Linked DNA regions of Cricetulus griseus. The protein of the gene in region 1 interacts with the protein of each later gene in a pairwise test. Links are inferred from orthologs where the notes say so. Each region holds a gene or a part of one and is shown on either strand. Other genes may lie near its edges.

What was found.
Region 2: the proteins of Clk3 (region 1) and Oas2 interact in binary tests that used the Homo sapiens proteins (3 or more experiments, as listed by UniProt). The two-hybrid records come from large-scale screens. The link is inferred for Cricetulus griseus from reciprocal best matches to the Homo sapiens genes CLK3 and OAS2.

What each region holds. Positions count from the first base shown.
Region 1 is NC_048597.1:169,395,973-169,400,438, forward strand, and holds part of Clk3 (dual specificity protein kinase CLK3), read right to left. Parts: intron 2,538-4,466; coding exon 2,386-2,537; intron 1,757-2,385; coding exon 1,540-1,756; intron 1-1,539. UniProt on the Homo sapiens protein: Dual specificity kinase acting on both serine/threonine and tyrosine-containing substrates. Phosphorylates serine- and arginine-rich (SR) proteins of the spliceosomal complex.
Region 2 is NC_048597.1:100,561,958-100,567,104, forward strand, and holds the start of Oas2 (2'-5'-oligoadenylate synthase 2), read right to left. Parts: upstream 3,350-5,147; 5' UTR 3,276-3,349; coding exon 3,045-3,275; intron 2,230-3,044; coding exon 1,977-2,229; intron 1-1,976.

The DNA of each region.
Region 1 (4,466 bases):
ACAACATGCTCAACAGCTGCCACATAAAACCAAACTACTACCTGCCCCCACATGACATCTTTGGCCAGACTTAACCAACTACCATAAACAGCCTTCTGCCAGCAGCCCTCCTGCCACCAGTCTCCAGCAGGAAATGAGCCTGGCTGAGATCCTCCAGGACAGCCGACCTTCAGGCCCCAAGCCAGCTCCTGACCTGGCCTTAGGACCTGTGCCACTCACAAACCAAACCCGTCCCACAACGACAGAGGGCACCAAAAATAAGCAGAGCAACAGACTTACACTGCCATCCTGTGGCAGCATGTGGCACTGTCTGAGGCCACAGGCCATGCTGGACTCACCTGCAAGAGTCAACCTTCAACCCATGCCACGCAAGTCACAGAGCACTGAGCGGAAAAGATACCTCCAATGAACCCACTACTACTATTCATAGGCCTCTTGGCCAGCAGGAGGACAACATGGGGAGAACAGATGGGGAGCAGAGAAGACAGCACATAACCTCAGAAACATACAAGTGACTTTCCTTTTCCATGGGATTGAGTACAGGGTTGGCTCTTGGTCTGTTCACCCCACCACCCTAGAATGCTGGCCAACCTCTGTTTTTAAGTGGTCTGCAACAAGGTGAGGCCTGGGGGCCCATCACACAGATAGCTGCCTCTCCTCACCACAAGTATCCCACCTATCAAGGAACAAGGCAGAAGAGAGCCTGGCTGGAAGTCAGACTGGAAGCTCCCCATCTGGGCTGACTGACAGGGCAAAGTGATGTGCTCTTGTAGACCATCAACTTAGAAGGTTCAACACAGAAATTCAAGATTCGTATCAAAAAAGAGAAAGGGCTAGGAAGTCAGGCAGTGGCGCCTAGCACTCAGGAAGTAGAGGCAAAAGGATCAGGAGTTTTAGGCCAACCTGGAATACATAACAAGATTTTCAAAAACAAAGAGGAAGCATGGGGACTGGGATGTGACATAGCTCAGTGGTAGAGCAGTTGCCTAGTATGTATGGGCTCTGGGTCGGATTCCCAGCATTTAAAAGAGGAAAAAAATATCACTCGTAAAGTGTCCCTTTTTATTGGGTAATGCAGACTCTGGTCCTCTGGGAAAGCAGGGTTTGAAAGTGAGGCGACAGAGGTGGTCAAGTCCACACTCAAAGCACTTAGCAATGTGCAGGGAGATGAAGGGAACAAGGCATATAAACCCCAAGCCACAAACCAGCAATCTTAGTACGATCCCTGAGAAGTGTGTCCCAGGCATGTGTGCCATGTAGCCTATGCCTGGAACAATGGGTAGACACAGACAGGCTGGAAACCAGCCAGCGCCGGAGCCAGAGCCCCTACAGTTGCCACTGGCAAGGGGCCAGAAGATGGAGGGCATAACATCCTTGCTTAGCCCTGTACCAAACACGCACACGCACACAAATGTGTGCACACACAATGGTGTGTGTGCACAGGGCTGCCAGTACTCACCCAGACCAGGCAGCCTGAGAGAAGGCTAGAAAGAGATGAGGCTTTTAGGCCTCTGTTAGCACACTCTGGCCACCACTCACCGAGGAGGCGCTGCTACAAGACCTGGTACGGCGTTTGTGACAGTGGTGGGCATGCTTGCGGGTACGGTATGGCCCTCTCTCTCGTGACCGTCTCCGATGTCGAGAACGTGAAGACCCATAGCAGTCCTCTCCAAAGGATGGGCTCCGCTCTTCACACCTATACGTATCGCTGTCACGGTGTTCCCGGTATCTCCGAGGGTAGGGTAGGCGGTCATGGCTGCCAAGAGGAAGTGAGGACACGAGTCAAGAAGGGTCCTACCAGCCAGGTTCCTGCCAGCAGGCAAGAGGCCTTTGGCAGGGCCCCTGCAAAGGCTCTTAAGGGAAAGCCTGTCAGAGCTGAAGCATCCAAGCTGAGGGAAGTAAACAAAAGAGAAGGTGCAAAGGTACCAAGCTTATTCTCCAGAGCCTTGGGTAATGACAGTGCTCCTCCATGCCACAAGGAGTGAGGAAGCAAAAAAAAAAAAGTGAGCAAGCATAGAGAAAGGCCTCCAACAGTGACAGAGTTGACTAGCCTGGTACAACTGTTACTTTGGTCTGGGGACTCAGACAGGACTTGGGACCAGTCTTTCTAAGGCTAGGACAATGTTCCTACTTCCCACTGAGGAAGGCTCATAGGTGGGGTACTGGTGTAGAAAATACAGAGGGAGAAGAAGGACCACTTTGTGACAAAGAAAGGGTGACAAGGAGGGTAGCTTCTGCTGAGGCCAGGAAATAGGCAAGGATCCACAGGCAGCTGGGCAGAAGCAGTCATCTAAAAGAACCTAAAGCCACCAGAGCCTCTGGGCCATCTGCTCATCTCGCTGAGGAAACAAGTGTTTCCTTCCTTCCAAACCAGCTCCCACTCACCTTCTGGACCGTGATCTCCTTGGGGGAGGCTCCCTTCGGGATGGGTATCGTAGTCGACCTTCATGCTCCCGACTGTAAGACCGCCTCCTCTTCCAGCGGTAGCTCAGGTATGGGTCTGGCTCTGGGGAACGGTATCGCTTACAGTGATGCATCTAGGCCACAAGAAAGAGAAAGCCCTGCTCAACACACAGCTCACTGCTTCCAGCCACAGGGCTGCCTGGTGCAGCCAGGTGCTCCTGAAGAAGAGGCCCATTGTTCTATTTAGGGGCAACCCCCCTACCCCCGGGTTTATGAAGTAAAGAAGAACTCTGAGGTCACAGTAACAGAACAGCAGACAATGGGTGACTCCATCCTTTTGCCAGTGAATAAACAAACAGGTGCCTCCCCAGCATGGCCTAGGGGCCTGAACACTTGAACTGGATAAGTCAGGGCCCAGATACAGAAGTAGATCTCTTAGGGGATTCTGAGCACTGTCACAGAGATGCTAGGACAGGGGGAAAGAAGAGCTTTGCTCAATGTCTTCCTGCCTATGGAATCCTATAACCTAAATGTTCTAGGAGCCTGAAACTAATGAACTGGTGGCATGGAACCAATGTACTTAGTGGTTTCAGAAACTGCAAGCTGCCTTGCTAAAGCATTGAACTGGACTCAACTCGAAGTTGTGAGAAGACACAGTAGAAAGGAGAACACTAAACCTTGAGCAAAGACACAATGTCTCATCAACATTCCCTACCTTCTACCAAGGTGTAGCCAAGTGGGCATAGGCCCAGAGGGCCTGCCCAGCCCTTGCTGGCCCATCCAGTCTCAGCCCAGGAAGGTGCCACAATCCTCAGAGAATCTAAGCTGCTTGCCTGAGGCACATTTTAGAGGCCCTCAGACCAACTAGAGTCCCATACCAGGTGTTTCAACTTTCAGCAACAGCATCATTGCCATCGGGTCTAGCTCCCCTGACCATCACTGCTTCGTGAGACTATCTCTGGAGGTGCCTAGAAGACGTGGCTGTAGGTCTACACGTGGAAGCAGAAGCAGGCTTTCGATTCACTACCCCTAGCCACTGAGGACTTATATCCAGTACAGGAGACTCCCAAGCTGGATCAGCAACCAGCTGAGGAAGATGGCTACATGAGGATGGTACCATTTTCACCCATATCCTGCCCCTTCACATTCTCCTCACCAGATGGCCAGGCAAGAGACCTTTGCTTGTTTGCTTTCCAAGCCAGCAATTGCTCACACCCAACCTCTAGTCTTGCACAGTCCCAGGCTTGCCTGGCCAAGCACCTTTTAAACAAATCCATCAAGGCTGCTTCACCTCACCAACACAATTCAAAAATGAAACAGCTACTTGTGTATGAGCAGGACAGGGAGGCCAATTCATCTAAACCACTGGGAGTCTCTGGGGACCCTAAGAAAGGCACTGCCTTCTATCTCCCCACTAGCAACCCTCCATCTGAAAAGTCTGGGCCACCCAGAAATCCTCAGAGATAAACACTACATAAGATCTGTAGATTTGTTGTTTTCACAATCATCTAAATAATCATTTTGTTTTTGTTTTTTCCCAATTATCTTACAGCAGGTGCTCAAGCTATGGCCTGAAAGCAGTATCTCATGTCTCACTAACTGACCCAAAAGACATCCTACTGACCAGAGCACATATCTTCCCTCAAGACAAGTGTGGTCCTGCCCATCCTCACCAGGCAGAAAAAGCACCCTATCTGGAGGATGTGGTGATATGGTCTAACATACACGTGGCCAAAGTTTTCCTTCTGAGACCTAGAAATCTTTCATGACCACGTGTCTACTTGAGAGGAAAGTCACAGCTTCAGAGTCCAATGACAACCTAGTCCACGGCACTACCACGTCAATGTTTGCCTTTAGACAAGTTATTAACCACTCAGCTTCAGCCTCCTCTTGAAACAAGGAAACAATAATCTCTTAAAGGTTCTAGAAGAATTAAATATGTCTGCCCTATAAAGTCAAAAGCCTAGAAAAGGTTTGGGCCATAATAAGTACTAAATATAGCCTTTCATTAACCCTAAGAAGGTTCCAGGTAACACTCAGGGTTATGATGAATGCCTTAATTT
Region 2 (5,147 bases), about 69 Mb from region 1:
GAAATCCCCCTGTAGGGTCTTATTTTCTTAGAAAGGCAACATTTATTGCTTCCTTGTAACAACAACAACAACAAAAAAAGGTCTTTGATTTGGACGATTCAGCTCTATCGCCACCTGTTGTTAGTACCTGGGTACTACATGTGAATAGTTCCTTTATCTGCCTTCAGCAGTGGGTGGATTGGTCTCCTATTGCCAGGCTGGAAGCTAGTTGCTCTGATCTTAGAGTTGGTGACAAAGGGACCCATGGGGTCATGTATCAGTTACTTTTCTGGCAGCTGGGAGGGGACATCTGACAGAAGCAACGGAAGGGGGAAGGCTTGCTTGCTTGCTTGCTTTTAGTATAAAATGTTCTGTCTGCAGGCCAGAAGAGGGCACCAGTTCCCATTACAGATTGTTGTGAGTCACCATGTGGTTGCTGGGAACTCAGGATCTCTGGAAGAGCAGCCAGTGCTCTTAACCTCTGAGCCATCATTCCAGCCCCAAGGGAAGGCTTTCTTTTGGCTCACTGAGGGCACAGCCATCGTGCCCGGGGAACATGATGCTGAATTCTCCCTCCTCGGACCAGGAAATGGATTGGAAGTGGAACTGGGGTCAGGATTGGAGACAGGGTTGGGGTTACCACCCTCCAGGCTCACTTCCCAGTCACCCACTTCCTCTAGTGAGGCTCCCTCTCCTACAGGCTCCACACCCTCCCAAATCAGCTGGGACCAAGTGCTCAAACATATTTTACCTTCAACCCTAACAGATGAGAAGGATTCATGCAACGGTGGCACATTTTCTAACCCAGACCACCTTCCCGAGAATGCTGTCATGTGGGCGTGTGTACATCTCCATCTTGTCAGAAAATGGTCAGGTGGTGGGTATTTAAGGTCCCAGTAATCCATAAGTTCCTCAGAATTGTGGACAATGGAGGCACCTTAGCCTCCAACTCAGAAGTCCTGGGCTGTCAGACTTATTGAGTCCACCATTGGCAGCATGGCCACCACACATTCCTGTCCTTTTGTTTTCCCATCCATGTATCTGTCCATTCCTACATCCATCCATTTTTACATCTGTCTATACAACCTGACTTCCATCCATCCACCTAGGCATATATACATGTATCAGTTCATTGTCTGTCTGTCCACACATTCACACGCCCATCCATCCAGAAATGCATCAATCCGTTTCCCCATCTGTCCACCATCCTTACATCCATGCAAGCATGCATCCATCCATTTCCCCTCCTCCACATACACCCACACATCCATCCATACATCCTCACACACATACACAGATCTCCCACATCCATCCCTCTGCCCATACCTACATCAAGTGAGCACCCAGCTATCCACTTCCATCTATCTGTTCACTTTCTTCCCTGCCATTTATCCATCCACCCTTCATCCATCCATCCACCTGCTCACCTATACAAGCTCCACTTTAGAGCCAAGAGTCTAGAACATTTTATCCAAAGTAAATGAGATGAGAATGAAGTTCTAGATAGAGTATGCCCAGGGTGGAGGGCTCTTCTCTGTTGGGGGTTTTGGTGGTGACCCCAGAGGCTCATATGTTTTTGCATGCTTAGTCCCCAGTTGAATTGTTTGGGAAGGATTAGGAGGTGTGTCCTTGTCAGAGGACATCCTTGTTGCTGGGGATGGGATTTGAGGTTTCAAAAGCTCACACATGGCCCAGTGACTCTCTTCCTCTTGCCTATGGATCAGGATATAAAGCTCTTAGCTATTGCTCTGTGCTGTGCCTGTCTATTTCCTACCATGATGATAAAGGACTAACCCTCCGTGCCTGTAAACAAGCACCAATTAAATGCTTTCTTTTATAAGAGCTGCCTTGGTCATGATGTCTCTTCACAGCAACGAACAGTGACTAAGATGGGGTTTACGAGCCCCACTTTGGAAATCGTCTGTCATAGCCTCTGCCTGTGGTTCCCCAGTACTCCGGGAAAGTTTGGGGGCCCCCCTCCATCCCAGAGCACTCACACAGAGGATCAAAGGCTGGAAGTAGCTGCAAGAGTATACTCTGTCCTTGTACGGACAGTTGGATTTCAAGGATGTTCCCAAGCTTTTTTGGCTTATTATATTTCTCATGGTGTTTTAGCAGTTGTTCAATCCAGTGGATGCGTAGATGTTGATATGCTTTCTGATCCCCAAATGAATGGAAGCAATTGACGAAGAGAACAAGGGTACCATCAGAGTAGCCTCTTAGAACTGTTCCTCGGCCATAGGAGCCACCCTGCAAGGAATGAAGCATCAGGTGTGAGGTTTGGGATTTCTGTAGCTCTAGGCAGGGATATTTCTTATGTCCAGTGAAATCCCCAAATGTCACCACCATTTTAAAATCAGGTTGCCAGCACTAATTTGCATGGGGGTCAGTGTCTTGTATGCTAGCTCCAAACTGGAGGCAACTCAAAACTGCAATATGATAAACACTTCATACAGTGGAGTACCATACAAGAATGAAAAACAGGTGAGTTCTACAAGAGCGAGTTCCAGGACAGCCTCCAAAGCCACAGAGAAACCCTGTCTGGAAAAAAAAAACAAAAACAAAAAAACAAAAAAACAAAAAACAAAAAACCAACCCACCACCACCACCACCACCACCAACAACAACAACAAAAAATGGTTGTAGGAACAAAACTCTCACAAATGTGGAGTCAAAGATGACACACAATGAAGTGCACATGTGCATGGAACCAGTCCCCACCAATTTACTGAGGATCGATGCTAAGAACACTGTGTGCCTCACTGTTACAACACTCTGAAGAGGGGTCTAGGCTGACCCTCACTCTGCAGACCCGGACTCTGTGGTACAGAGAGATGAAGCAGCCTGCCAGAGTCATGTAGCCAGGCAGAAGATGACCTGGCTGTAGCTTGGGCCCCTGCACTGTCTGCCTTTGTGTCCTCAGAAGGAGAAAAGCCTTGTGAAGTGCCTGGTGTGGAGCAGTGCTCAGCACCACCCCCATGGCAGGGGCAGGGTTGGAGTGGGGGTATTGGGGGAGAGCAAACTCTCCTGGGATCCAAAGCCCTGGCCCCAAATCTGGGCCTCACCTTAGCCACTCTCACCACAGTGATCTCAGAGCTCAGCAGGAAGTTAGAGATGTCATCCACATCCTGGTCTATCAGCTTCAGACATTCTTCATTGGGTGTGAGGTTTGCCTGGATAAACTCTTCTAGCTTGTGCGCTGGCACTGAGGTTAAGTAAGACAACCCACCAGATAACTCTTCAGAGGATCCCCCAGATAACTCTTCAGACGATCCCCCAGCCAACCAGTTTCCCATAGTTGCTAGCTGGCTGTAGGTCCTGGGGATTCTGCCCTGATCTGGATAGAGGAAGTTGAGACCAAAATTGCCTGGCCTAGGAAATCGAAACCCAAGTGTCAGGAGTCACTGCCCAGCAGCTGCTGGGGGTGGGGGGAGCTTCTTGCTGGCCAGCCACTCCCAGGGACACCCCAGGTTAACCCTGAAACCTCCAGAGCCTCGGGGGACACCTCCCCAGAGGACAGATATGTGTATCCTTCAGTGAAGGTGGGGTTTAAATGAGTTTACCAGATCCAAGATAAAGATAAATAGGTGTTTTATTGGGGAACAACTTACACAGGTAAGAGTAAATTACTGCTGTACCTGCACCTTCCTGCTCCCGGAGATGCAGTCTCTGTGCTTCTGATGCTCTCCACTACCCAAGAGAGTGCCCACCGATCCACACCTGAAACCATGCCCAAAGGGTGTGGCCACTGGCAAGGCGAGATGCCACTACACTTCAGTGCAGGACTGACTTCTTGGTGTCTCTGTCTCCTCCATCTGTAAATCAGAGGAGCCTGTCTAGCTCACTAACCACTAAGTTAATTTGGTTTTATAGAAAGTGGAGGCTGTTCATGGAAACTGGCTCTTTTCTCCTGTTTCCAGAGACTGAGGCACTCAGTGCTAGGCTGAGTGTAGAGAAAGTCCAGAGAGGGACTCACATGCTCAAAGACACACAGCAAGGCAGGTGTCCTAGTAGATGTAGGCTTACTTTTCTGCCTTTGTGTGAACATAGTGCTCTGAGGAGTAGCTTCCGAACACACACACACACACACACACACACACACACACAGAGTAAATATTTAAAAATCAAATTAAAAACAAGGGAATTTTGTCAATACAAATTTAATACAATTACTTTGTGTGAGTTTTGAGACAGAGCCTTTCTATGTAGCCCAAACTGGCCTTGAACAGGTAATCCCCCTGCCTCAGCCTCTCATAGACTATTTGTAGCATCTTCCTTCAAGGTAGGATGGGATATTGTGTTTAGCTGTCCTATGTTGCAGATGTTTCCTGGAAAGCTCACTGGGAAAGGCACAGTGACTTTGTATTTGCCAGTCCCTTTGGCATCCACATGAGTGCCTGTGTCATCATAACAAAGCATTGGCTCCCATACAGGAACCCTGAAAGCAGAAGGACTCTTAAGTTCCTCTAAGTGAGCCAGAAAATGACTGCAGGGGACACTAGCAGCTCCCAGGGACCCTGCCTTGGCTTCCTGAGTGCTAGGGTTGCATATATATATATGCAACCCTAGCACTCAGGATATATATATATATATATATATATATATATATATATATATATATATATCCTCAACCAGCCCAAGCTATGCCCATGGGGACCTTCTCCCCAGGGCCATGGCCTGAATCAAGCTCAATGGATCCATATTGCCACTACCATGCTGGCTGCTGTCGTAGATGGAAGGGTTTAGGTCAGCAAGGCCTCTCTGCTGCCTAGATGGTCATGACCTCACTCCTCACTCGTCCAGCTCACAGTCACCCCAGTACTGGAGCCATCTGATAGGAGGGCCCAGAGTCTGTGTGGTGGGGACAGGGGCTGGGACTCTAGGTCAGTACTTCATCCGTTGCTGGGTTCCATGGAAAAATAGATCTCTGCTGGTCACATTTGTCTAGAGCAGTGTTTCTCAAGCTGTTTCTCCACCCCACTGGGGTCAAACAACCCTTTCACAGGGGTCTCCTAAGATGATCGCACAATACATATTTCCAAAGGTCTTAGGAATTGAGACACTGCTCTTTTGTCCATCTCCAGGTGGGCCCGCCCATGCCGATATGCCCACATATGAGTACCCAGAACTGTATTAAAGGGTCGAAGCATTCTGAAGGTTAAGGACCA